4 linked regions of the Oreochromis niloticus genome follow. The protein of the gene in region 2 interacts with the protein of the main gene of each other region in a biochemical or structural test. Links are inferred from orthologs where the notes say so. Each region holds a gene or a part of one and is shown on either strand. Other genes may lie near its edges. The genes, in order: chek2, atr, atm and atrip.

What was found.
Region 1: of the proteins of atr (region 2) and chek2, one has a biochemical effect on the other in vitro, tested with the Homo sapiens proteins (2 studies listed by BioGRID). The link is inferred for Oreochromis niloticus from reciprocal best matches to the Homo sapiens genes ATR and CHEK2.
Region 3: of the proteins of atr (region 2) and atm, one has a biochemical effect on the other in vitro, tested with the Homo sapiens proteins (2 studies listed by BioGRID, with this or other methods). The link is inferred for Oreochromis niloticus from reciprocal best matches to the Homo sapiens genes ATR and ATM.
Region 4: the proteins of atr (region 2) and atrip form a complex in vitro, tested with the Homo sapiens proteins (4 studies listed by BioGRID and IntAct, with this or other methods). The link is inferred for Oreochromis niloticus from reciprocal best matches to the Homo sapiens genes ATR and ATRIP.

The regions. Positions count from the first base shown.
Region 1 is NC_031977.2:37,556,290-37,563,193, reverse strand, and holds the start of chek2 (serine/threonine-protein kinase Chk2), read right to left. Parts: upstream 3,013-6,904; 5' UTR 2,874-3,012; intron 1,501-2,873; 5' UTR 1,492-1,500; coding exon 1,239-1,491; intron 774-1,238; coding exon 649-773; intron 545-648; coding exon 412-544; intron 329-411; coding exon 238-328; intron 167-237; coding exon 70-166; intron 1-69. Other genes in the region: entr1 (endosome-associated-trafficking regulator 1), read left to right, coding at 3,252-3,294, 3,368-3,519, 5,746-5,924, 6,022-6,163, 6,247-6,320, 6,398-6,509, 6,597-6,659, 6,737-6,876. UniProt on the Homo sapiens protein: Serine/threonine-protein kinase which is required for checkpoint-mediated cell cycle arrest, activation of DNA repair and apoptosis in response to the presence of DNA double-strand breaks.
Region 2 is NC_031983.2:20,161,131-20,168,928, forward strand, and holds the start of atr (serine/threonine-protein kinase ATR), read right to left. Parts: upstream 3,005-7,798; 5' UTR 2,840-3,004; coding exon 2,787-2,839; intron 2,637-2,786; coding exon 2,545-2,636; intron 767-2,544; coding exon 614-766; intron 496-613; coding exon 1-495. Other genes in the region: pls1 (plastin-1), read right to left, coding at 4,337-4,475, 4,569-4,702, 4,781-4,904, 5,036-5,169, 5,277-5,391, 5,811-5,889, 6,145-6,340, 6,514-6,609 and 2 more. UniProt on the Homo sapiens protein: Serine/threonine protein kinase which activates checkpoint signaling upon genotoxic stresses such as ionizing radiation (IR), ultraviolet light (UV), or DNA replication stalling, thereby acting as a DNA damage sensor.
Region 3 is NC_031979.2:14,487,823-14,494,782, reverse strand, and holds the start of atm (serine-protein kinase ATM), read right to left. Parts: upstream 3,016-6,960; 5' UTR 2,849-3,015; intron 2,635-2,848; 5' UTR 2,611-2,634; coding exon 2,539-2,610; intron 1,722-2,538; coding exon 1,603-1,721; intron 1,350-1,602; coding exon 1,204-1,349; intron 1,028-1,203; coding exon 863-1,027; intron 772-862; coding exon 606-771; intron 506-605; coding exon 267-505; intron 1-266. Other genes in the region: protein NPAT, read left to right, coding at 3,468-3,504, 3,670-3,788, 3,885-3,945, 4,040-4,112, 4,310-4,350, 4,691-4,933, 5,108-5,183, 6,046-6,169 and 3 more.
Region 4 is NC_031970.2:11,844,771-11,851,859, reverse strand, and holds the start of atrip (ATR-interacting protein), read right to left. Parts: upstream 3,020-7,089; 5' UTR 2,659-3,019; intron 2,298-2,658; 5' UTR 2,297-2,297; coding exon 1,957-2,296; intron 1-1,956. UniProt on the Homo sapiens protein: Required for checkpoint signaling after DNA damage. Required for ATR expression, possibly by stabilizing the protein.

The sequences.
Region 1 (6,904 bases), on a different chromosome or scaffold from region 2:
GACAAACACGCAGTCGAAAGAAACGAGCAGCGGGTCTCAGCCAATCAGAGAGCAGATGACGCGACTCACCCCTTCAGACTGAAAGTTCTTCTTGTTTATGATTTTCACTGCAAACTTCCTGCAGGTGGATCGCTCGAAAGCCAGCCGGACCTCGCCACACACTCCTCTGAAACACACACAGTCAGCAGGGTGGTACCGGCACAGGAAATGACATCACAACGCCACGAAACAACTCACATGCCAATGCGTCGGGTCAGTAAGTATTTCTCTTGTAGGTCTCTGGGTAAGCTGGACTGATCGTCCGACATCAGGTCGATGAAGACAAACACTGCAGAGAGACAGGAGCAGGAGGTGAGACCGGCGCCAGGGTGTCCAGGTGTTTTCAGGTGCTGCTCTGGTGGGCGGAATCACCTCGGTTTCGTTGTTCAGCCAGAGAGATGACGGCGTTATTGACCAGAGGAAGCTTCTTGTCTTTCCCGATCGGAATCCCATCGAGAAAAGTGCCATTATTACTGAGGTCCTCCACGAAGACCTCCGAGCCCTCCTGACACACACAGGTGGAGAGGGCGACGTTAAAGCCCCGTGAGCGCAGTACTCACAGTACGATCAGTGCTAATATCAGTGGTAGTAGTACTGCAGTAGTCTCACTCTGTAGATCCTGAAGTGTTTCTTGCTGTAGATTCTAAACTTTCTGGAATTTCGGTCATTTGGATCCTCCAGGACGTAGTTACACCTGGAGTCCCGTCCAAACAGGTACTGGTCCTCTATGCAGTCTGTAAACAAACAAACAAACAAACAAACAGGAAGTGCTCCTCTATGCAGTCTTCTCGGCAACCCACCCCCCACCCCCCACCCAGTGGAATTACAAAACCTGCAATTCCGGGATTTTATTTGGATGCTAATTAGCAGCAGCAGCTAGCTCATCCTCTGGTCACTCCATGCTCGAAAAAGGAAGAGGAGTTGAAAAACCAGGATGCCATGTCCATCTTTTATCTACAGTCTAAAGATCAGTCACACCTGAAGCACTGTCTGCTGAACAGAAGTATCCTGATTACTTCATGTGTTGTTTAAAGTATGGAACAGGGGAGCTCGGCTGGCTGATAATGCTAATTCTGCTGCTAATTCTAGTAATTACTAATTCCAGACACAGCACAATATGTTCAGTTTAGTGGAATCTGATTAAGAACAGAGTGAATGGAGAACTAGCCAGCGCGTCGGCGTGTTGTGAGCAGCGGTACCGTGGCTCCTGAAGCCTGGGACCATGGGCAGTAGGCGGCCCCAGGGTTGCGGCTCGGGCTCCTCTGGGACGGACGCGAGCGTTACGGGGATGGTGTCCACGCTGCTCAGAGTCCCCGAGCCACTTGACGACTGACTGGCTGAGGTGGGCCCACTGGATGAACTGGAACCAGGCTGGGACTGGGACTGGGACTTGGCCTGGGACGGGGACAGAGTGGACTGGGTTTGGGACTGAGGTGGCCCCTCTTCAGACATCCTTCAGCTCTGCAGACACATGAGAGACAAAATCAAGAACAAGAGAAGAAGAGTTTGGGTTTCTGCCACAGGTAGTGATGGGTCCTGCAACACTGACGCACCGACACATGTATCAAGCTCACCTAGCGAAGCCTGTATCGGTGCGTGAGTCGCTTTAAGAAAAAGTCACGTGATCGATACAGCTGCTGTATTGCTCATTGCCAACGCGCCAAACTGTGTTTAAAAAGTACCGCATCCGCGTCTGTCAACGGAACGAGACGCCACAAAAAAAAAACAAAAAAACCCCCACAAAATTACTCTCGCAAAGATTAAAAAAACAAAAAACAAAACACATCTCTCCATAACAAAATGGAGCCCGAAAGAAAAAGAAATGTTTCTGCTGTGTGGGATCATTTTGATCTTTTAACCGCAAATAAGGTAATAGTTTGTCTGTCTTTGTTTCAGTGTAATCTATCCTCAGTGTTTAGGCATTACAGAGCCAAACATGAAAATGAGGAGACAAACACACTGAGAATGAACACAGGTCAGCCTATATTGACACTGAACAGCTTTATCATCATTTTTTTTTATTAATATGTGTTTTATTATTTTGAAATCAAGCATCTAGGAAGACTGTTCTGGACCAGACAGTCCTGAATTTTATTATAAAGGACTTCCAACCCCTTAGTATTGTGGAGAGTGTCGGACAGAAACATTCCAAGATCAGAGGATCCTTTAACGTACTGGGGGAATAGGAAGACATCTTATCAGAACCTTTTCCACCTGGCTTTACAGTTTTTGTACCCCAGCTTCATCTGTGCCTGTGAGTTTTCCAAAGCTGGGGAAATGGGGTCAAAAAAACGCAATAGACTGAATGTCAAAGGAGTTTGCAAAGAAATAGACTGAATGCAAAAACACTGAATAAACTTATTTTTCTGAATAGAATTTTATAATAAACTCTGACTCAAATTTATTATTACATTCACAATACTTTCATTTTAATTTTCACTTAGTGTCATTCACAACATATTTTAAAGATGTCTACAATATTTGAAACGTAAAAGATATAAAATGATTCCATGGAAAGTACAATACCTTACAGTGTACAAGTATGACTAGGTCATTGAATCAGTGTCTGTTGTGAGTCTCAAGTAAGTTCCCTGCAATGATATTTACGGTCCAGCAGGTGTCAGTATGGAGCAAAACAGCAACACTGTGTCGACACAGTATCAATACAGTTTGGGGAATGTGCTGAAACGCTTCACGAGGCCTCATCTACCCATCACTAGCCACAGGATCTTGGACATCCGTGGGCTCGTCGTGGCCCCAGAGCACACAGTGCAACATCCCCACGCCCCACTGTGGCAGCAAACACAGACCGCGTGTCCGAGACTCCCACTCACCGTGAAACCGGAACCCCGCCGGTGCTGTCAGTCTCCGCGCGCCTTCTTCTCTGCACTCAGCCGAGCCAGAACCAGCATCCGGGTCTCTGCGCGTCCACGAACCGCATCCACGAACCGCGACACGTGGTTCGATTTCTTGACCGGGACCCTGCGGGACACGCGCTTCCTTGTGGCCTATTTTTTTCTCTGACGTCAGGAAGTAGTTCCAGCCAATGATAAGTCGGAATGTGGATCACGTGCACCGGGAGCCGTCAGCTGGTGTTTCCGGGTTTGGTTTGGTCCGGCAGAGAGGATTCAGAGGCTGATCGATAGTTATGATCGATACGTGAACGGAAGCCAGGGGGCGGAGCGAGCCACGTGTCTGTCTGCGAGTCCGACATGTCTAAACAAAGAGGCAGCAAGACTCTGATCATCACAGACGGTGAGTGTCGGGGGGGAGGTCTGCAGTCTCCATGTGAGCCTCCGTCACAGCTCCAGCTGTTCTGTGTGTGCAGATGAGGAGGTGGAGGAGGTGAAGGAGGAGGCAGAGGAGCTCAACCCGTTCTCCTTCAGAGAGTTTCTGCGCTGGAAGAGCCAGGACCCGGACCCGGAGCAGGCACGCACTGAGGTCAGAGCTGCACAGCTGGAGGTGCACCTCTGTCCTCCGGTAAAGCAGTGAGCACAAACACAGAGCAGGTCTGTGCTCACAGCTGTGACATGCGTGTACATGTGCATATTTAAAAGAGTGACACAAACTTCAAACTGCTGTGCTGTGGCGGTCATGGATGTGATCGCTGTGGGCCGAGCGTGTAATCGACTCACAGCTCAGACTCTGGCTCTGTCCTCAAACCGTCCATCGGTCCCACGCTGAGTGTTCAGCCCACTTCATGCTGCTGAGTAACTGTTCTCATGAAACAGCAGAGATGACCTGAGATCAGCTGCTGTTTCTCAAAATCTGCAGAAAACAGTGACTCCATCACAAACACACGCGTGTCACAGCTGTGAGCACAGACCCACTCTGAGCATCTGCAGTGACACAACACGTGTTTGTGCTCTGTGACGTCATCTGACCCTACCTGCTCCTCCTCCTCTGAACGACCTCCACAAACCAATGAGGTTATAGCACGGCATGGAGTCAGATGTGCGTTTTGTAGTCCAGCTTCTGCTTGTTGTAGTTTCAACACTTTGGGGATCCGGCGTCACGCTGTTAAGCAGACACAAGTGTGAGGTCGTTCCAATTCTCAGCATACCACTTTTCTCTTTTCCTGAGTCCTCACCGGGGTCAAGGAAAAGAGGTTAGGGGATAGGAGACGCTTTGGAACGCCCTGTGGCTGTGTCCACATTCAGGGGTTGCATCCTTGGAAGGACCTACACGGTCTACGTAGGGCGGGTCCTTCCAAGGTCACGAACACCAGAAGTACAGACCTGTTAAAGTGGACAAGCAGTTCCTGTTGCCTAGCAACTGCGACAGTAGCAGCTAGAGCCGTGGCCTTGCCTTGATGCACGCTCAGTCATCCAGGTTAGGAAATCCCAAAAAGCTGGTTGTGTTCATCTGGACGTTTTCAGTGGGAGTTTCATCATCATCAGCTGACTCCTTCAGTGTCAGCTGACTGCAGGTTCCAACCTTATAAACAGGACATCTGCATAACGACTGACACAGCAGAATGGCCCACTCTAACCCACTGATGAGTCCCACTCACAGAGGGTTGGGGAATGGCTGTAGAATGGTGACACATGTTCCCTTAGGCCCCTCCTCCATGCTTCGACATCAACAACCCACTGACAGGTGTCAGTATTTCCACGGCTGCACAGTTTAAAACAGCGTTTCTGTTGCTGCCACAGTGTAACCTGAAGTGTCCATGAAAAGGACCAATCACACCGGGAGCCCGTGCTTCTTTAGGCTCTGCCTACCCACGATAGCATGAAACTGTAGCAGTGCGTTGGTTATGGAATATAATTCCGTACATTTCAGTTCAAATTGAATCCCTGCGACTGTCTCGAAGACAAATATAAATAAACTGCAGCCACAGTCTGAAAGTCACATTTAAACATGTGATCCTTTGTATGTTTCACATAACATGAACATGAACTGATACATGGATATTTATTTATTGGAGAGAAAACTGTGCAACAAACAATATTTGAACTAAATACACTGTGGACCAATCAGAGCTGTGTGTAGTTCCCTGTATTCTGTCTGTCCTGCAGGATAAACATCAGCGAGCGCGTCCCTGCATGCAGCTGGTACAGTTTGTGTTGGACATGCTTCTGCAAATACACGAAGCAAATATCTAGAAACTGTTTCAGTGTTTCCACCGACTGTAGAGATCATCCTCTGCATGTCTCAGCTGCTGCTGCCTCCTCCTCCTCCTCACACGATGTCCCGGTGTATCATCAGGGGTGGAGAGCCTCTGTGCCGTCTCCTCTCTCCTGACTCTGGACTCAACCGTGGCCGTTAACAACAAAGGCAGAAAACTTGATCAAATATCTGTTAACAGATGAAACACACACAGTTTTCTCCTCTAAGCACACGGTCTGTCTGTCTTATCAGTAGTAGCTTATACAGGATGAGAACTTCAGTGCAGCATGGTTGAGTCTGTGTCCTCAGCACAGTCCATGGGCCAGATGTTTGGTCCCCGTAAATACACTTGGCTTACAGCCTGAACGTCTGCTCACTGTAAACGTTGACGTACGTTTGGCTTCACAGCGACAAACCGACCAAAGCTCGTACGACCCGAGCCATGTTAGATATCGCTAACGTCAAGTAACTTAGCTGAAGGTTAGCTGAGTTTAACGTGTTTTCACATTCTTCATTATGCTAACATTCGTCCGTTTCTGGACCGCTTCCCTTTGACCGTCCGCCATTTTTTCCAAAACATTTTTTCAACCTCAGATTCGCAGTGAATCTTGGGATAGCGTGGACCACGAAGGATACACCCGACCCGCCGCACACAGCCTCTGTCTGTCTCATCAGGAGGAGGAGGAGGAGGAGTGGGGGCGGAGCTTCCAGTCAGGCGTTGACAGCACCTCCTCCCTGTGCACAGAGGAGGAAGAAGAAGAGGAGGAGACCAGGTGAGTCTGATGAAGTGCGGGGCGTAAAGACCTCCGAGCAGCTTCTGTGCAGATGAAACTCCACCTGCCGTGAGGTCACCTTCACCTGTGTCACCAGGTTCTCCTCCAAACCTGAAGAAGCTGCAGGCAGAGGTGCAGGAGGAGGAGGAGAGAACTATGAAGGAGATGATGAGACCTCAATGGCTGAGTCAGCCACCTCCTGCAGGAGGAGGAGTACCAGGAGCAGCCAGACGCAACAGGTAACCCAACCACGGAGCGCTTAGTTCAGGGAGCGTGGGACAAAGCAGAACAGGGGTGTTAACAAGCTCCTGTTCTGTCTCAGCTGAAGGAGGAGAACGCAGCGCTGAGGAGGACCGTCAGGGAGCTGCAGAGGAGAGCAGAAGTGAATGAACGCAGGTTTGTACCAACCAATCACAGGACAGAGCCGCCATGTCGCTGACCAATCATTTACCCAGCATGCCCCTGTCTCCCAGGGCGTCGCAGCTCTCGGAGGAGCTGCTGCAGAGGAGGCGTCAGGAGGAGAAGGAGGCCCAGGACCTGGAGAGCATGGTTCACTCTGTGGAGCAGAACCTCCACCTGATGACGGTACACACACACAAACACACACACACAGTGTTTGCATGAACAGGTGTGTGATTGTGTGTAAAAATGCTCTACGTCTGTCCGTGTTAGAGGCGAGCGGTGAAAGCGGAGAATGCCGTTTCCAAACTGAAGGCGGAGCTACAGCAGCTGCAGGTGAGATGGAGAATGAATCATCGATTATCGATAATCTGCTGGCTGTGTGTATCAGCGTGTGTGTGTGTGTGTTTGAGGCCGAGGTTGATTCTCTGCGGGCTGAGAACAGCGGTCTGAAGTCGGCGGAGTCTCAGGTCGTCATGACGATGAGGCAAAATGCTCAGGTGGCATCCGATTACCTGAACAAGATGGCAAGCCACGCCCACTCCTCCATCCGGTCAGTACCTGCAGACACACACAGCCAT
Region 2 (7,798 bases):
GCATCACCATGGAGGCCTTCCTCAGCCTGGTGTTCCCGTTGGCCAGGATGAAGCATGCAGCCTCCCAGGCTAAACTCAGGTCACGACGGGAGATGACTCCCCGCAGAGACTCAGTTATGATGTCGATCGTTATGGCAGTCAGCGACTCCAAGGCAGCAGGTGAGGAGAGCACAAGGGCAGAGGGGGTGAGGTATGAGGAGGCACAGAGGGGGGATAAACTGAAGCACTTGAGGTTTACAGGCCACTGGCTCTTTGTGTGAATCTCCAAAACATGTCCCTGTCCTCCAAGTGTGCAAATATGTGCATACAGGTTATGGCTGAGTTCCTGGCACAGAAATATGAGTTCCTGAATGAGGCAATTAAAGATAAATGGTGCCCGGACTCTCAGAGTGTGAAGTAAAGAGCACAACACAGCAGAGACCCGTCCATGGATGATATCACAGCCTGGAGCTGCTGCCACACGAAGGAAACGCACCGCCACCCACTTACTGAAGTCTAAAATCAAGACAAGGAATGAGAAGATATTAAAGGAGAAAGGAAAGAGGAAAACATGTTCATTTTTTTTCTAATTTCTGAAATCACTTATGGCAGCATTTTGAGAAGAATTTCCTACCAGTGCAGCTCTGTGTGGTGTCTGGGTATTCAGCAGGCTGACAGGCAGGGTTGGCAAACATCAGAGATGAAGATTTAACTATGTGCTGCACGAAGTCCAGCAGCATCACACAGGCTGGCTCTGAGCTGGACTTCTTATTTAGCCCTAAAGCAACTGGAAGAAAAGACAACCGTTTTGTTCAAAGAGCTGGTACACATACAGAGGATAAGTCAAATATTCTTGCAATATTAACTTGAAAAGTCACTAAATGATAAAAAGCTTAAAGAAAGACACTGATTTAAACTCCAGGTACAATATTTATTCAAAAGAATCTGAGAAGCCAAGAGTTAATTACCAAGTAAACTACTGGAGATCATAAATTTATACAACAGCAGCAAGAAGACAGAAGCAGACACAGGTTTATATTAGTTGTACTTTTCCTATCTGTAGTCACACCCGATGTGCCCTCTTTGTGTTTTGGAACTCCTAACACAGACTGGGTTTCTGTTTGCCGAACAAACACCTGCCAGCAATGTGAACTGCTGTTATATCACCTTCATATTGCAAAGGGGAAGTTACAGGTGCAGGTGTAGAGTAAGGGGCAAGATTCATGCAAGTGGGGGGAAGACAAAAACTAATATGGTTTATAACAAACTCTGCGTACTAAATGTAATAAAGGTAAAGATAAAGGAATTTAAGGAATAAAGGAAGCATGTCTGATGTGCACACATGAGCTTGTTAGGGTTTAAACCTGCTTACTTTTTTGTGACATTTTCATATTTCATATCATCAAACACATTTTAATATTAGACAAAGATAACCTGATTAAATTCAAAGTGTAGTTCTTAAATTTTGATTTCATTAAATAAGAGAAAGAAAAGCTACCGAAACCTACCTGGCCCTGACTGAAACAGTAATTCCTCCCTTTTTAAATCATGAATTAATTGTGATTTACCACATTGGTTGAAAGCTCAATTTAATTTCACAAGTAACACCCAGACGTGATTACTGCCAGGCTTGTTGAATCAAGAAATGCCTTAAATAGAACCTATCTGAGGTGAAGTAGGTTAAAAGAACTGTCTGGAAAGGGTTACAAAACCATTTCTAAGGCTTTGAGACTCCAGTGATCCACGGATTTTAACAGTGGAAAACATTCCCAGGAGTAGACAGCCTATCAAAATTGCTCAGAGAGTGCATCAACAACTCATCCATTAAGTCACAAAAGAACCAAGAATAATGTTCAGTGATCCCACACCCACCAGGAAGTCTTAAGTGCTTAAAAAAAACCCCATAAAGATCAAAATGAAAGTTCTGCAGCGGCCTAGTCAAAGTCCAGGCTTAAATCTAATTTAAATGCTTTGGCATGACCTTAAACAGACCGCTCATGCTTGAAAAACTTCCAATATGGCTGATCTTATGTGAAAGACTTGTTGCAACTTATCACCATCACTTGACTGCAGTTCTTCCTGTTAAGGTTGGCACAACCAGTTATTAGGTTTAGGGGGCAGTTACTTTTTCACAAAGGTTTGGATAGTTTTTTTCCTATTTTTATAATAATAATAATAATTATTATTATTATTATTATTATTATTATTATTAGTAGTAGTAGTAGTAGTAGTAGTATTATCAGTATTATTATTTTACAGGAGTTTTTCAGGAATTCATAACCTGCATGTTACATTTACTCAGGCTATCTCTATTTTTAAAATTTGTCTGATGATCTGAAACATGCAAGTGTGACAAATATACAAAAAAAGAAAGAAAAAGAAATCAGCACAGTATATTAGCAAGGGGAAATAGCAGTCATTGTAAGCAACAACTTAAGGGAATGTGTCAGCAGATAAGTCTGACAGTGTACACCAAAAAGCTGTTTGTTTGTTTTTTACTGATGTCCTTTCAGAGGCTTTTATTATGGTGACCACCCCAAGTAAGTGTCGATAACACCGCCTTACCGACATCCACATCTGTCAGTATCCTGTCGATGAACTGGCAGAGAATCTGTCGAGGTTTCTGTACCACCTGGTCGTACTCTGCAGCGCTCGCACTGCAAACATCAGCACGATGTTATTCACAGAGACATGATGAAGCAACGGTTTTTATCGACTTCAATAAGTAAAGACGAGGACTCACTTTAGCCCAAATGACTGGTACTGTTAACTACTTAGCTCTTAGCCAACTTTAGCCGTGTACTCACCTAGCTAGCTCCTGAAGAGCCGGTATCATCGCAGACATTTCCAGACCTTCCATTTTTAAACTTTGTATGTCCCTGTTCGATAAAACTCTTTAATACATTAATATATGGCTCTATCTAATCATTTTTAACCAGTACACATCTCCACGTCTCCTTCTGCCTGTCAAGTCTTTCCAAAACTTTCGCTCCAAAATGACGTTTCTGTTTTGATACGGAAGCCAGCGAGGGTCTATAAGCTCAAACAAAAAGCAAACTAGTAAGAGCTTCCTCTGGTCGTTAAAGTAACGTTAAAGTATGTCTTTTACGGCAGGAAAAAATATGTAAAAAAAAAAAATTTTTTTTAATTGTTAATAGTAAAAGTACCACAGGCCCATAGTAAATGTCTTACAATGTAGGCAGGGTAAAAATATACACAACAGTGATTTTTTTTTTCAAAGGAGAAGTAAAAAGGTGAAATAAAAAAATCTAACTGAGACTGTGCAAAGGAGTAGTGCAATTGCAGTAGTAAATAATGTGTAAAAAGAGGGTATAATACAAGATATATAATGTAAATATTTGTGAAACTGTGTATGCCTGCCTACAACTGTGTTACTTTACTATTCATGAGGCAATGTTGTATTTTGTGATTAGAGTTTAATGTATGTCTTAATTAAGTTGCTAAATTTAAAATTACAGTAGAATTTCTTAAATCAGTTAAATGGTATTTATATAGTACAAGTCACAACAAAAGTCACATCAAAACACTTTATATTGCAAGGTAAAGAACCTACAATAACAAGAGAAACACAAGTGTTTCTGTTCCTTTATTCACCATGCAGCTTTTTGAAACAAGATGTATAAGATGCTTCCCCTTATCTAAAGGGGAGACTGAAACATATTAGAAAATTGGTAAAAAATAAATAGATAAATATCAAGTAATGTCAGATTATTGTCACCTCCCATCTTTCAAGTATTTTTAACCTTAAAGTTTTCAGTTATGCCCATTTTTAGAAGCTATGTAGAAAATCCAGATTTTTGCTTTTGATGGCTTTTGATTCAATTATATTTCATGCACTTCTGAACTAATATACATGTTATAACCAATTTGCTCTTTACTTCTGAAGTCCAGAAGGAATTTGTATTTTGATACACAAAACATTCACAGGTATTTCGTACATTTAACAGATTCTCTTTATTAATTAAATAGCAATATTTAATGAACAACATTTACAGACATAAAATGTATTTGATAGAACAGATGTGTGTATAATTCTGCTTTTTCTTCTGCTGGATCTCTGGCTCATATTGCAGAAGAAGTAAATAGAATGGGTTAAGTATAATAAAGCAAAGAACAATATTCCATAAAATCACGTATAAAAGAAAGAATTATCTTTATTGATGGAAAATGATATACAGCTTTTTTTTCTTGCAAACGAATAATAGACAATGCTAGACTGTTTTTGTTTTGTACGCACGGCGAGGTTAAAACTCAAAGTAAAGGAATAAAAATAATTTTTTAAAAGTAAAATACAAATATATTTTTTCATCTTCATTCAGTGTTGTTTGTACCCACTTCAGGGTTTGGCTTTCTTCATACCATGCCCCATGAGGCAGGCAAACACAGTCATCACCATCTTGGGATTGACCTCCACCAAATCGTCAGGCAGAGCGTAGACACGAGCGCCAATCTTACGAGCCAATGAGATTGCATACCTGGCAGCAGCACAGAAGGAGAGAGGAGTAAGGAAATTATAAAAGAGCGAAAAATCCAAAGTGGTTGGGAGTTTAAAAAAGTTTATTTCTTACTTGGCATTGTTGATTTTATCATCTTTCTTCAGCACTCCATTTTCTCCTCTTGCTACCACGTGGAACTTGACCATTCCCGGAGCGATTACATCGATCAGGTCAATCACTGGCAGGCTGGTGCTGATCAGCTTGTCCTGCAAAAAACAGGCAAAAAGGGGTTTAAAGCACACAGTCTTTTGATATCAAACCATTTCACAAACAAAGATACACACCTTGAAGCTGCTGATTTGTGTGTCCTTTCCATTCTGGCTCAGCATCTTGTTGACCCAGTCCAGGATGATTTGATCTACCACCCTCTCTCCATCACCCAAATCGGACAAAACCTGAACTGTGTACCTGGAGGATTGTAAGAAGTAAAGGTAACTGAAACTATACAATGAGCAGCAGCGCCAAACCACGGACTGTCTGTTTTCACCAAACAATGTACTATAGCAAGCAAAACATCCTGCAGCTCTGCGTGCACATACCTCCTCATCAGCTGCCAGACCAGCCCTAAGGTGTGTACACGACTCCCCTCGTTTAGATTTACTCCTCCAATTCCAACCAGGGAGAAGCGGGCAACATTCCTGCCCAGGTCCACAGCATAGTTACAGTTTTCCAGCTGGGATACAGGGAAAAAAACAAAAAACAACATTGCATCTCTCATATTTCCCACTGCTGTGCGTTTCCTGTCATCATCACTGTGCTCTGCTTGTTAGCATGTAGTACCTTCTTCATATTGGCCCCCAGCGCAGGATAAGGAGGGCGGTTGACTTTCTTCCAGTCCACAGGCACATTGACCTTATCATAAAGCTGCAGAATCACCAAGCCGTCACACAGGTCACTGGAAAAAAACAATGACACAGATAATTGATTTCAATAGAAGAAGAAGAAAAAATGACCACCACTGAGAACACTTAGAGCATGTCCTCTCTATTTTTATTGAATTATGGAGTTTTAGCAGTCTTAGAGGGAGCTCATGTTTTACTGTGCTTTAAAGCTAATAAATAATAATAATAACACTTATAATTAGATAAGGGATTTATTATTTTCAAACTATATTTTCAATGCTGTCTGCATGAGGAAAGCATTAAAATTTAAGATTAAAGCTAAGCCCATATCTTACTCTTGTGGAGTCTTCAGTAGAATGTTATATGAGGACACTCATGCTAATCATTAAATGAAGCTGAACCTTGATTTACAGGTCCATTCACCCTAAATAACTGATATGGTCAACATGATTATGTATAACTGATGACATACTGGTAAAGATGGTGCACATGTGGAGAAACACCCAGAGAGTTCATCCAGTTGCGAAATGTTTTTTCTTCTCTGGTCTCCTCTGGAATTATATGAAGACATCATACATGTTATCATACAGCTGACTTCATCTATAGTCTAGACGTCAAACACTCAAGAACCTATTATCATCTCTGGCTTTTTATTGGTCTATGGCACGTATAACTAGCATAGCATTACGTCTGTTTTCTGCATGCTGATTTTATGGCTAATATGCCTCTGTGTACTGTACAGTTCAGCATTTTATGATTCTGTCGTGTAATTGTAAGGCCAAGATGTAGTGGTGAATATATCTCACTCTCTATGTGCTCTAAATTGCCTCCGTTCATCAGAAACTTCTGCAGACCGGGGTGCATGTTGAACAGGTTGGCCACGAAGGCCATGTTCAGTTTGCTGTTTCCAGATGTGACATCACGAGCAGTAACAAACTGCCTGCAGTCCAGTTTGGCTGCCTGCTGCAGCATCAGCTCAGCCCTTTTCTCCAAATCCCACTCCTTCACAACAAACACACACACAGACATGTATGCATAGAAGAACAGACACTATGTGGATATAATCATATCAGAATTTGAAGAAAACTGGTTAAAATGACAGAAAGAAGTGTTGATCTTTACATTTAGCTTCATTTATTAGTTTCTCACTGTTATGTGAACATTTTTTGGCTCACATTGAGGCCGCTCATGTCAATTTTTATCTTCATTTGGAATTCATCCTCCTCACAGGAAGTGATCTGATCCATCAGGTGGAAGTAGGCCCGTGAGTCCTTCGGTGGGAGAGTACAAGATGGGGTTACACTCATGACACTGTGTATTCACATGTATGTGTATTTGTTCTGCACGGTACCTTGATGTCTTCGCTGAAGTTGCTGATTGTTTCCGTTCCTGCGTTGCGTAGATGATAGTTGACCCAGCGGAGCAGCAACTCGTCAGGGGGGAGAGACATTAGGTGCTCCAGTGATTCTCCATCTTCTAGAAGGGCAATCAAACCTAAAAACACATAACAGCAGTTAATCAACTGTTAAAGCAAGAAAGAGGAAATTAATCGGGGCGATCGGGGCTCAAGAGTTGGCAGCTCGTCTTGTAATCGGAAGGTTGCCGGTTCGAGCCCCGGCTCCGACAGTCTCGATTGTTGTGTCCTTGGGCAAGACACTTCACCTGTTGCCTACTGGTGGTGGTCAGAGGGCCCGGTGGCGCCAGTGTCTGGCAGCCTTGCCTCTGTCAGTGCACCCCAGGGCGGCTGTGGCTACAATGTAGCTTGCCATCACCAGTGTGTGAATGGGTGGATGACTGAATGTGTAAAGTGCTTTGGGGTCCTTAGGGACTAAGTAAAGTGCTATACAAATACAGGCCATTTACCATTTAATCAAAAACTGCATTTTTACCTAGAAGCAGCAAGACACTCTCAATTAAAAGTAATACAGTTGTGGTTATGCTGGTCAAAGTAAAGAAGACATGCAAAGGAATGAGCTAATTTGTTACGAAAAAAGCAAAAAAAAATTCAAAGATTTGTAACATATTTTTGTACCTAGAGGCTGTATGATTACAGATAATATAATATAACATATAAAAATAAAATAAAATAAAGCACCAAATGTGTTTTCTGCTTACAGAAAAGAAATATATAATCACAAACACTTTCAAATTATTTTCTTTTCTTTTTTTAAAATTGTCAGATGGTTCAATAAACGCTCATTTAAAAAAATGTTTTCTGGCGATTATTTCATGGTTCAGGCTTGTAGGGGTTAAACCCCAGTGTACTGAGCTCCGACGAAGACTCTGTTATACAGTTTTGACCTAACAAGCTCCACTGTTTTGCCTTAATTTTTACATTTCAAACCTCTCCTTTGAACTGCATCACACATGGGTGAGTGCTGTAAATGTGAAGTTGTGTGTGTGCATGCAGGTGTGCACTGACCTTGGTTCCTGCTGATTTCTATGTCAGCAAAGAGGCCA
Region 3 (6,960 bases), on a different chromosome or scaffold from region 2:
AAAGGTTATATTGTTCTAAGAGATAGGAAACTCAAATATGCCCTTCTTAAAACAAAGTGGTTGGATGGTCTTCATCAAGGTGAAGAAGAGCATCTCAAAATGTGCAAGACGTCAAACCTTAAAGCAGATGGGCTACAGCAGCAGAAGACGAACCAGAAAGGAAGGTGTACCTAACAAAGGGTTTGTGAGTGTAGCCTGGCCTCCGACCACTATTAACCACAAACACTGGAAATCAACATTTAAAATTAAGTTTCTAAAAGAAGAACCTGTGTCCTGTGTCTTGGCTCCTTTGGGGTGGTGGACACAAATCTGTAGGTTGAAGAACTCCACAATCTCCTCTTTGAGAGCTGGACTGGGCCTCATGTCTGCCCAGACGTACAGTATGGAAGGCAGAAGCTCCTCTCCCAGTCGACACAGCCTCATCCTACAATTCATGGCTGCAGATCTCAAGAAGATGTTCAGAGCTGAGACAAGGTGCTCCAAAACAGCCAAGTGTTTCTCCTGCCTGATACGATTGATACGAAGAATGCATAGTGTTTAAATTTAGCGACTAATACCGGAACATTTATTCAACGCAAATCTAAAACGGTGTTAAAAGTTTTCACCTGACATTAAGCAGTGCTTTGGAGAAAAAGCTGAACAGCGTGTCATTGAATCCATCGGTCTGCATGCAGCAGCCCTGCACCACCGTGTGGATCACTCTGCTCACCAAAACGCGGTTGATGGGTCTGGACGAGGAGTTGAACAAACCACAGTACAAGTCCAAAAGATCTAAGGATCAAGAATAAACACAGATCCATCAATTCTTACTTTTGTCTGCTTCCTCATGTTTATAAAATAAAACTCCAAATAGCCCACTGACTATGCCACTGTTGTGGAGCGATGTCACACCAGTACTTGCGGACAGAGAGGATGTCCTTTACAAGGAGGCTGCTATAATCTTCTCCATAGGCTGAACAGCAGTACGAACTCTGCAGAACCTCCAGCACATGTTTCAGCAGCTCACTGCACTTCAGACGAGGCCCGCCTGGAGGAAGAAGAGGACACTCTTAACTGCAGTCCCCACAGTTCATTCAATATTTTTTCTACTGTGTCTGATGAATTAATGAAAGATACTTATAAATATAAAGATACATGAATGTTCCCTAATTTATTACGACATACATTCACCCAAAACATATTGCAACCTGCTCCTGCTCTTACGTTTGTTAGCACAGCGAATGAAGTATTTGATCAGGCTGCATATTTCAGCCATCTTCTTCTGCCGCGTGGCCAGCGTGGTTGCCGTGACGTTGGATTTGCTTGATTGCATGCTTTCCGTCTCCTTTTGGACATAGCGCTGCAGAAACCTGATGCAAGAAATGCCAAGCAGAATAAAGAGCATTCATTTATAGAAGCCACTTGTTCCGGTACATGGGCTAACTTTAGCTAAAATCATTTATGAGTTACGAGCATGTTGCAGAATATGAAATAAGAGCAAATACTTATTTAAGAACTTTTCAAAAGATGCAAAAAGGTAGAAAATAGTCCCTTCTCTGGAAACACCTTATAGATATATACATTTTGTATTTATATGGTTGCAAATACTCTGATGCAGGTTACCTGAAAACAGCATCCCATGTGAGTTGCTTGGAAGCTTTTGCTTTAGCTGATGAGTTACGATCGAGTTCTTGCACAATCTCTGGAGATCGAAGGAGCCGTCTGAAGTGCTCAGCTTCTTTCTGATAATAATTACGAGATGAAATAAAAAGCATTTACAACGCATTGATTAAAAAAACATTAAAATCAATTCAGGTTTATTTAATTATGGACAATTCCCCACAAAATTCACTTCAAAGCTCTTTATACTGTAAGTTAAAGACCCAACGGTATTGGAGAAAACCCCAACAATCAAGCGACCCAATACGAGCAGGCACTTAGCGAGGGTGGGATGAAAACCCCCCATTTTAACAGGAAGAACCAGGATTTGAAATTCTGTTCAATAAATACGCATAATGTGTCACAACTGAGAACTTGTGGGGCTATACAGACCATTAACATACCAAGATGACTGGCAGATCCTATTTTGTTTTTGTTGCTACTCGTGCCAGGAAAGTAAATAAACCTTTATTTAGAAAAATTACTGATTTTAGAGTCTTTCAGCTATTCATCGCACTGCCTTTGTACACTTATAAAGTGCAAAATTGATGTGGTGCAAGCCACAGGCAAATTGCATCTTATTTGCAAGTGGGCAGGACAGATGCTGATGCTCAGCAGATGTATAAGCGATGCAATCTGAGCTTCTGACTGAGTTCAATATTTTACAGTAAGAAGAGCCCTGATTTGAAGGTAGTAACTAAAAGAAGTGAATTAAAGGATAACTGTGGTTGTTACTGGTGTTGGGCTGCTTTGCCATGATAACTGGACAACAGTGTTAGTTATCCTCTGTTATTTTAAAATAAGCTAAATAGGGAGTTGTTTAACCTATTTAAAGTACATTGAATCGCCTATGAATTCATTTATTTGGACAACTGATAGGCAGTAGTTCGTCTTTTTCACCTTCCTCTCTGTAGCTTTGTCATTCTCGAGTGCTCTGCAGCAGGCCAGGAGATCATGAAGAGCCAGGCTCATTGTGCCTCACCGTGGATGTACACACTGGAGGGACAGGATGTTGACAAAAGTTGTTACTCATCCGCTTTATACCTACACTATTATTACTTAGTAGACATTGTAGATTTCTACCATTCGACCCACACTTTATTCACTGCTTCACTGCTCATGCAAACTACTTTAGCAACACGAAACTGGCAGATTAAGCTTTTAACTTCATTCACAAATGTCCATTCAAACACCTGCGCTGTTCACTGACCTCAGATGACTGCAGTGATTGCAGTTGCGGAGTTGTCACACTTGCAGGTGCAGATGTTAGCTGAGTTAAGGCACACCGCTACTGTACCTGCCATGACAACTTTGCCATCTTGTAGAGCCACACGCACGCACGCACACGTAACCCACGCATAAAATATTCCCGCCCCAGCAGCAAGGCTCAACTGCTCACATCACTTCCTTCTTATGCCTGGTATTGAGTGAGTCCATTCACTTTTCTATCAGCATGAAAATAAACCTAATGTTTTTAATAGGTATTGTGTTATTGAAGTGGTATACGACATGCTGAAGTCACGTTCAACCTATAAATTACAGTATATATATGTAAGACACTATAGAACGTTATCCAGATTGACTTTTTCTATTTGGACTACAACTACCACAATTCTAATCGATAGCTTGGTCTTGGTACTTCCGGGTTATACGTGCTTGAGTTCCCCGCCTTTTGAGTATAGAAGCAGTATTGTGAAGACGTCGCCTTCACAATAATATCACTGACGTGGTTTCATTTCAGACAGTTTTTCGAGCTTCTCGGAGACTTTTCCTGAACATGGAGTTACCTTTTCACATTTGAGGCCGCTTTTACCAACAAGTAGTCGGTCATGTTGCTACCGTCTGACGTCGCTCGGCTTGTTTTGGGTAAGTCTGGTCGTCCATAGCAGACGAGTAGCTGTGGGGTTAGCCAGCAATGACAGTCGAGTGTAAATGGGTAGCTTTAGTCTCACAGCCTTAACGGTTGATTGGGCTGCAGTTGGAGGGTAACTGTTACTGCTGACTAAGGTGCTACTAATGTCCTTCCGCTAGGGTACCTCCAAGAAGAGGGGCTGTCAGCTACAAGCCAAGCTTTCATTCATGAGAGCCCCAACCTGAAAGAGTATGCCGAGCACACCACAGGAGATGGGACTATTCCTGCTTGCGTTTTTGTAAGTGTGCCTTCCTCCCTCTTGTAAGCCGCCTCCACAGCCTGAACTGTCATGATGGCAGCTGACTGCATTTCTGTTTAATCTTTCCTCACACAGTCCATCTTTGGGAAGAGCCTGACGACCATTTTAAATGAGTATGTAGCTGCTAAAACAAAAGGTAAGCCATCCAGAGGATGTCTTTAGTATTTTATAACCGATTATTGTTCATATGTCATGGTTTTGTTGCTGATGATTACTCATATTTTCAACAGAGTCTTGTCATGAGGTTCCCGTCGTGATGACTTCATTGTGGAAAAAGCTGGATTTTACACTCAACCAGATTAAGTAATGAGCTTCACTAATAATTGTGTGATAGCATAGGATGCATTGGGCTGATTTTGAAAAATGATTTCATATCGTTTTCTATTGTTGATTGGTATGTTGTTGTGAGACGAATCATAAACATCTGCTGCTGTGTTTCTCAATGCTAAAACTTGGTGCAGTGAATTAATATGTGAATATTTTTCTGCATCTTTCCTTAGGTCATTGCAGAATTCCCCTGCTATATCAGCATGTCAGAGAAGTAAGTTTGTCAGGTTGTTTGTTGTTATGTAATGGGCTAATACGTGGTGATGTAGCCGAAAGCATCAGGTTTAATGCATTGATGCATTTATGTAGAAATATACCTATAACGTAGGAACAGAAACTGTTTGAAAAGGGACTTCCCTAATCATGAGCTTATTGTGATTATAGTTGCCTGTTCCTAAAACCTCAGGAACTGGCATGTTACCCAATTAACTTCTGAATTGTCTATACATCAAATTGGGAAATTGGCACCATGATTACTTACAGTTGTCAAACAGTGCCTCAGCGTTCAGGTTTTATATGTAACCTATTTACTTATCAGCTTCTGTGTGTTGCAGCACGTTCACGTGTTGGATTGGCAAACATGGCTAGACAGCGGGTCCTTGCCGTGGCTTCTGCGGGTGGTGTTGTCTGTTCATCGGTTTCTGAGACGAGCACCATCATCAGCCCAGCGCACACCTCCCACAGCATGCTTGCCCACTCCACCCCAGTGTGCTACAGTGGTCTGAACAGCAGACCAGCATCTGGCAGTGGCACAAGCCAGCATATTCATGACAGCAGCCGATTAATGACTACACCCAGTCAGTAATATAACACACAACTGAGTACAAATGCTAAAGTAAAGTGATGCTAAGATCACAGCTTTTTAAGGAGATAGCAACGCTCTATGAGCTCATTATTCATTTAATGCACACATACTAACTAAGTATTAAATGTAGTTTTTAATAATAAATATTCAAACTTGTTCATTACAGGGGATTCACCCGTGCAGATCATTGTTTCAGAGCATCGGCTAAATCCAGGCCCAATGTCTCCTGGTCGAAGGAAATGGTAAGAATAGTTGTTAATGCTTTACTATAGGTGTTATTACATAAACATCTGTCCAGAGTGCTAAAGACAGACTAATCTAAAGTGGATGGAAAAATTAGCTTTCATTGTACACAAATTGTGCATGGACCTTGCTGTTACAATGACTTTACAGTACCACTGAGTAAACCTTTCGCATTGCAGAAAATGTGACTAATGATTGCAGAAACAACAAACATGTACTTGGTGTGTTGCATAATCCAGAATGTTAATGATTCAGTAGCTTTTCTTGCTAAGGATTCGTCAAACTTCACAGGGTGTTTACCGTAAAATGAGAGTTGTGATCCTGAGCACAAAAAAAATACATCAGTTGGGGATTGTGTTGATTCAGTTCTGACCAATCTAGAAGGAGTAGTGATCCTTCTGAACTGTGGATGGAGAGGACATCAGATGCCATGTCATAAACTAATCGGTCCTTTGGCTGGTTGAGCTAAAAAAAAATGCTGATTGTAGTGAATTTCACATGACATTAATCAGTCACAAGACTGTGTCACTGTTTATCTAAATGACTCAATATCAGTATGTTGTTCCTTAATGTGTGTACACACTGGAAGCAGTCCGCAGTGATATAGCCATCAGAGACCATAGAAAGTGATATTTGGCGACTTCAAGGGACTGCGACGAAAAGAACATGCTTTTGATGCAAAGTGGGCAGGACCGCCGATAACCATGTGTACTCAACCTGGAATGTTGTCTGTGCTGGGTCACCCCAACTTGATTGATTAATTAGATCTTCAGCATGTGATATTTCTGTTTAACAGTGACTTTATTGTGCTGTTATTGTTATTCCCATGGTTTGTTTAAAATGTTTTTCTGTTGTCTTCAGGGACACCCCCAGGAAGAGAAGTGGTGCTCTGAGTGGCTCCAGTGCCCCTGGCAGATCTGCTACACCTGCTGGCAGCAGCAGTGCAGAACCCCAACCTGAAGAGGTTGTTGATGAAAACTTCCCTGTAAGTATGTCAGTAATGCTAGGTTTCCTAATCACAGAGACAAGTTAAAGACTACACTTCAATCACATATTAACAAATCCACTGACATTGTTGTTTAAAACCTTGTTGATCTGCTGAATGGTCATATATCACTATGTGTCTCTAGATACAAAGAAAAATTACTTTATTGCATCAGAAATGACATACTCTCTGTTTCATCTCACTCTTTACAGCAGCTTGTGATACAAAACGCACGTGACAAGATACTGGGTGACAGGTCATTACAAGAGAAGCTTGCTGAAAACATCAACAAAATCCTTGCAAAGTAATTAACGCAACAGGACTCTTCATTTTGTGTGCACTTGGATGTATTGTGCACAGTTTTTGATAATGACTGTGCTGTTTCCTACTCTGTTTCATCACTACTATCAGTGAGCCAGTGCCCCAAACATCAAAGGGTTCTTCAAGTACAGTGGAGACAGACCAGTCTATAGATGAAATACTAGGATTACAGGTGATTTATTTTTCTTTTTTCCTAAAATTTAGCTTGTAGTGTTTTCACTTTTTCTGTGTAATTTACCAGTATTCACTCACGTATACAGGGGGAAATTCATATGAGTGACGACGCCATCCATGACATTTTGGAGCAAACTGAGTCCGACCCAGCTTTTCAGGCTCTCTTTGACCTCTTTGACTGCAGTAACTATGACCTCATTTACTTTAATGTCTTTTCCTTTAAATAATGGTTCGCAACTGTCTGTAACAGTTTAACTAAAGAACTATTGTAAGACTTTTTATAAATTTATGTTTGC
Region 4 (7,089 bases), on a different chromosome or scaffold from region 2:
ACGTTTCAAATGCCCACTGGCTTTTGGTTACATAGAGGAGCAGATTCTGTGCCAGATGAAGATCCAAAACACTTTTCTTAACGTGATAAAGAAAAAATAACAGGAACAGATGAGATGGAATTCACACCTTTTCAATTCTGGACTGGGAAGATAAAATTGCATGTGGTTTATCTTGTTAAATAACTGCCTTTAAAAAGAATACTACCCTCACAGGAACTGTGTAGACATAAGCATAATGCTTTCTGAACACTGACAGTGATATATTTATTCTCCATCTCGTATATGAAATTAGTTTTTATGATATTTCAAGAAATACTACAACAGATTAGGGTTTTTTTTATAGAAGGAAAACACTGAAAAGGTACTTTAATGTGCTGCTTGCATGAATATCAAAAAATAATTGAATTTGCTTCAGCTACTCCTGAAAGCAGCTCCCTGAGTTTTAGATAAAAGAATGAAATGTGACATTTAACACATGTAGGACAGTTATTACACTGGTTTCCAAGTAATTTTAGAACAGATTTCAAAATCTGAATGCTTGCTCTTAAAGATCCTGCACAATCTTCATCTTCATGAACTATGAATCAGCTCCACCACTTGGGTTATTTTCCAGGTGTCTCCTACTACTACCTCTACTACTACTACTGAAGACATTATAACCTTTATGCTACTGCAATAACCTACAAAATCCTAATAATGGTGTGCCACCATTATCAGTATGTGTTTAGCAGTGCCTTTCAGAAGTCCAGTTACTTATTAATCAATTTCTTTTTGCTTATTGCACTACTTTTACTTTGGGAGTTTTATCAGATTTACAAGGCTACCATGATTCATATTTATTATTTCTACTTGATTTAAGGGCTTAACTTATTATTTTTTCATCTATTGCGGTTTTTATTGCCCTGTTGGTGAGTGCAATTTGTAAAGATTTTATTTATTCAGTTGCTCAAGCCCACCTATGAACTAACCAAAATTGTATCAAATTACATTTTCCATATAGTTTTGTGGCTGCAAAACTGTAATACAGACTTTCTTTGTGTAGCTCATTCTTTATGCAGCTCATTTTGCTTCTACAATGAAAGTGCAAAATATATTTTTTTAAAGTGCTACATAAATAGTTTTTCTTGCTTGAAATTTTCATTTAAATCAATTTAAATCAATGGTAGACTAGAAAGACGAATGAAAAGGAATTAAGCATACTGGAATGTAATTGCCGGTGGAATTAACATTCCACAGCATATTTAAATGTTTAATTCTTCTTCTTCTCCTCTTGGCTGCTTCCTTTAGAGTTTACTCTAACAGATTATCTGCTTCCATCTCAAACCATCCTTAGCATCCTCCTCTTTCACACCAGCCCTCTGCCCATCCTTCACTATATCCACAAAACTTCTCTGTGGTCTCTCTCATTTCCCCTGCCTGGAAGACCCATCTTCAACATCCTTTGTCCAATATATCCACACTTCCTCCTCTGCACACATCCAAACCTTGTTAACCTTGCCTCTCTAACTTTGCCTCCAAACAACTCCACCTGAGCTGCACCTCTGATTTACTCATTTCCAACCTTGTCTATTTTTGTCACTCCCAATGAAAACCTCAACATCTTCCACTTTGACACCTCTAGCATCTCCTGTCTATTTATCAGTGACATCGTTTCCAAACCCTGCCATCTTGTAAACCTTCTATTTCACTCCCGTTCTGATCCTTCTGTTACAAATCACATCTGAAACTCATGTCCGCTCACTCCACCCTTCCTGCACTCTCTACTTCACCTCTCTTGTGCACCGTTCATTGCTTTGAATGAATGACACGAGTTATTTAAAATCATCCACCTTCACCTTTCCACCCGTCTTTCTTTAATTTACACACATAAGGTTCTGATGTTTAATTAAGGGCATATTTTTACATAAATATTGTTAATAACAGTGTAGATTAAAAAAATACAAAATAAATACTCACCCAATGGTTCTCTACTTGGTATCCCCGCATTCTCTCTGTTGCTACTGTTTAAGGAAAATGCATTTTCTCTGCTATGATTAGATGTGGTTTTGTTCACAGGTTTGTTCTGCCCAAAGGAGGATGGCCAGGATGACCCGCGGGCTGGCTCATTCGGTTTGGATCCTGTCCCTGGCTCTACCCCTTCCGAAGCCGACGTGATGGCTTGCGAGGCGATATCATCGATTTCATCTAAAACTTCCTGGGTGAATTCTTCATCATCTCCAAAAGGGTCATCAAAAGCCACTGCTGTCACTACATCCTTGTTCAGGCCACGGAGGCGCTTTGTTGGGGGACAGTTCATGCTGCATGGGGGGAACATATCATTAGCATTGTGAGTAATTCTCATGTATGCATATTCACAAACACTAAGACTAGGCGACTGTGTGGGTCACTTAGGAATAACTAGTATAACTCAAGATAACTATTTTAATCAAAGCCGTACTTTACAATAAAAGCTGATTCATTGAAAGCGCTTCAAGACTACCCCTGAAATAACTTGTGTTAGGTACAACATCAGCTAATAACTTATTAAGCAAAGTCACGTTCAGGAATTGAAAAAAAACCTCAAATCTAACTCAACTCAGGCTAATGTGACTGAAGCAAAAAAAACGCATGTTTCTTTTTTTTTTAAACAAACCTAGCTTAACATGCATGAACACGTACACGTTTCTTCTGACTTTACTGTGTTACCTTGCCTCTGGGTTCTCTGGCTGTCGCTGCTGTCAGCTAAGCTAGCGAAAACTAGCCGTGATTTCCAATGGGGAGTTAGCCTGCTAAGCTACAAAACCTCATTCAGTCAAAACAATATTTGAATTTATTGATTAAAAAGACATAGAGAGTGTCTTAAATAGAACTCCTTTACACGGCGCCCATGAATTAAACTGTGAAATGCTGTATAATATGGTACAACAGCACATAAACAACACAAAACTAAAGTTGACAAAACAGAAGTGTGTCGTTCATCCCGCTCCGGTGTGCCTGATAACGCGACCAATCATAGCACTGCTTTCGCTGTTCGGCCAATCATTGACACCGAATTCTTAAACTGGGTCTTTTACAGGTACCCGTTTGAGACAAACTATACTAAACGCGCAAATTGGTATCCTTAAAGGAGTAGCTACGCATAATAGTGTTCTTGTTAAGGGTGAACTCATGACAGAAGCTTTCCTTAGAACACTGGTTGGAAGTAAGGGAAATACCTTATTATATAGCCCAGAATGTTTTTTCTTCGCCCACGTGTGTGTGTGTGTGCGCGTGTGTGTGTGTGCGCGCGCGCGTCTGAATTGGGGCGGGGGCAGAGACTATTTGGGCTATTTCTTACGTGTAGTACCTTCTTGAGGTGTCTGGTGGTTGCATGGCAACCACATAGTGATAAAAAAAAATCCGTTATCCTGTGTCCAATATCACTGCCTTATTCACCCTTCCCTACATAACATTAAACCAATATTCTTCATCCCCAGTGGAAATTAACATGGGTGTAGTAAGAAAAATGAAATTTGATTCATTAAACGGTGCCCTTGTAACACCCACCACGTTGGCGTGTATAATCTGACATCACCTGCCAGTTTTGTATCCACATCCTATGAATCCCTACATGTACGCTCTCTTCATATAGAAGCTTCTTGTGGCTTCTCAGCAACAGCAAGTGTGCTTTCCATTTTTAGACACAGACAGGTCTGCGTGTCGCAGCTGAGGCTCTACTGTGTGTGCGTGTATGTCTAACTCTGACACATGCTCACTCTACCGCTGCCTCTCTTTCTTTTTCCGCCTCCGTACTTCAGTACAGAAATGGCAGAGCTCAACGACAGGCATCCAGATGCACCCTTCATCCTCATGAGCAGCAGCACCATGACACGCACACACGCGCGCGCGCGCACACACGCAATCACTAGCACAGTGATGCCAGTAACACCAGCATTCAGCACCACTGCAGGTCTCATCTGCACAGATTAATCTCTTCACGTTTTAAAAAGACAATTGAGTAAATTAAGAAAGCAACATAAATACACTCTTTCACACACAAACACATATATTTGGCAGGGAAGCTGGTTACCATAACAACCAAACAGTCAAAGCTGAGAGTGAATCAGATGAAATGAAGCCCACATACAGTACATGTACATGTGACTGCAGAGCAGAAGAGTAACCCTGTGTGTTTTCTTTCCTCTTTTACAACATCCTCTCAAAATCCAGGTGTTTGTTCTGCTCACATTATGGTGGTGTGTGTGTACGTTCTTTGTAATGCACACACCACACCTAAGGTACGAGTTCCATCTTCCAAGAGTGAGACAATGCAATACATTTAATTAAGCATTAAGTAAGGTAAACCCACCTTATTCACTGTCATGCCTGTCAGGTTTTCTGTTCTGCACTGCACACGTGCGATTCACTGTTTGCTTTGTGACATTCAGACGTGGGTGACATTTAAAGAAAGAGCTGAAGGTGCATGTAAAATTGGACACTTTGATGAAAGGGAAGGTAGAGAACATAGAAGGAGAGACCAACAGTGCATGTTTTCGTTCTCACTCATTCTGCATCACTAATGGATTTTACAACTTTGCCACTTAAGACATAATTGATGACGATCCTCGTGAGTGTGAGGGACACTCTGTTGACTTCTCACAGATTCAGCTGCATCATTTAACTTTATTATAGCACACACTGTGAGTGACATGACAGTCAATTTGGGTTCTGCTTTATTCCTTCTTGTCACTTTCTGCATACATTGTGCTTTGCTAGATATTCATTTGTCTGTATGCAACTGCATGACTAGTTCCTTTAGGGTGTTTCTCACCAGTTTCACAGTTTGTTAAAATTATTTTATTTTCATTGTACATCACAGATGAAGCCTGAGATAATAAACTAATACTCTGTAGAAGGGAGAACAACATATCAGCAACACATTATTTTGATATTTATTTTAATTAAGATTTTTAAGGTGTGTACATTTACTGTAATAAAGCTGCTGCTGTGATTTCAGTAAAAGTGACCAAAGACTGACATGTTAAGTTGCTGTCAGATTAAAGGGGTTGATGTGTGAAATGCACTATTACACAAAATCCAGTAAACATAGAGAAAATCAGTTTCTCAGTTGTCACTGTGTAACCATGTTTTAATAATTTGTGTTAAAACAAGAACTGAAAAGGGTTTTCTAATGGCTGCCGAGATCATATTAAGCTGAAAGACAGAGGTCTGAGGTGCATGGATCATTAGGTGGTAAGGTTGCTGACTTTTTTAGAAGTCAGCAACCTTACCGCCTAATGATCCAGTTAGAAGACACAAAAAAAGCACCGGACTGTTTCTGTGCTGCAATGCAGAGATAGCTTGTTCCAGTACAGTAATGGCACCATAATAAATTAATTCCTGAATATTTTGGATGGTATACTAATATTTACAGTTCATGTTTAAGCAAAGATGCATGCCTAAAAGCAAAGCAACAGTGCACTGTACTCTTGTTTTATATTTTTTTAAAGTCAACTCACCACATTTTTTTAGAAAAAGCATTTTCAGATATATTCAATTTGTGGATGTAAATTCTGTCTGTGGCCTGTAAATCCACATGGTTATAGATCTGTTGAATATTTTGTTCAATGATCTTTACAAGTAAGAGAAGTGCACAAGTACACAAACAAAGAAGTCCTGCCACTAGTTATTGCTTCAGTGTTAATTATGATCAACCTATATCTAATAATTGGCCATGTACCACAGGCCTTCAACCTTCAGAATCTAAAACATTGCAGCAAGAGTACTGACAGGGACTAAAAATAAAGAGCATATTTCTCCTATATTGACTTCTTTTCAATGCCTCCCTGTGAAATCCAGGATCAAATTCAAAATCCCGTATAAGGTCTTGAATAATCAGGCCCCATCTTATCTTAATGACCTTATGGTACCGCATCAGAGCACTTTGCTCTCAGATTTCAGGCTTACTTATGGTTCCTAGAGTATTCAAAAGTGGAATGGGAGGCAGAGCCTTCAGCTTTTAGGCCTCTTCTGTGGAACCAGCTTCCAGTTTGGATTCAGGAGACAGACACTCTCGCTACTTTTAAGATTAGGCTTAAAACTTTCGTTTTTCCATATAAAGCATAAAGCCTATAGTTATTTACTCTGCAATAGGTCTATGCTACTGGGGTATTCCAATGATGCACTGGAACCACACATGGCAGATGGCCGCCCCTCTCTGAGCCTGGTTCTGCTGGAGGTGTCTTCCTGTTAAAAGGGAGTTTTTCCTTCCCACTGTCACCAAAGTGGTTACTCATATGAGGTCATATCATTGCTGTTGTTTCTCTGTTTTCTTTGTATTATCACAGGGTCTTTACCTTAAAATATAGAGCGCCTTGAGGTAACTGTTGTTGTCATTTGGTGTTTTATAAATACAACTGATTAAATTGAATGAATAAAGTTTGTTTCATGTGTAACATTCAACGTACATTGCTCGTAATTTAACAGTCACCACAATTTTTATCCGCAATGGAATTTTGTTTGACTAACCACTAAATATCAACTAAGATTTGAAAAACTACCATAGGGCAAAAGCCAAGATACACCCCAGACAGATCGCCAGCCTGTTGCAGGGCTAACACACAGAGACCATTCACACTCACCAATTAATTTAACCACACTAACTATATATCTTTTGTGTGGAAGGAAGCCTGAGTACCTGCAGAAAACCCACACAGACGCAGGGGGGACATGCAAACTCCACACAGACTGGCCTTGGGCAGATTAGACCCCAGGAGTGCCTTTCGTGAGGCAACAGTGCTAACCACCACACCAATGTGCTGCCTACACACTGATTTTCACTTGTAGAATGATGCTTGGATTGAACAGATAAATTGTAGTAAATAATAGCAGGGCAATGCAAAACAAGTAGGCTAAGGCAAAGGACATAACAAGAAAGGGCTAGAATTTTTTGTCAGTTTTGTTTTAGAAAATATCTTCCTCTGTTAATACACTTGGATCAGGATCTGTTCGAGACACTTCCAACACTCTGTCTGACCATTTCTGTAACTTCCTAAAAATTACAATTAACACTCACACCCACTTCACGACTTGATTGGCTATTGTGTGGAGGTGGTGACTGTACGCTGGGTG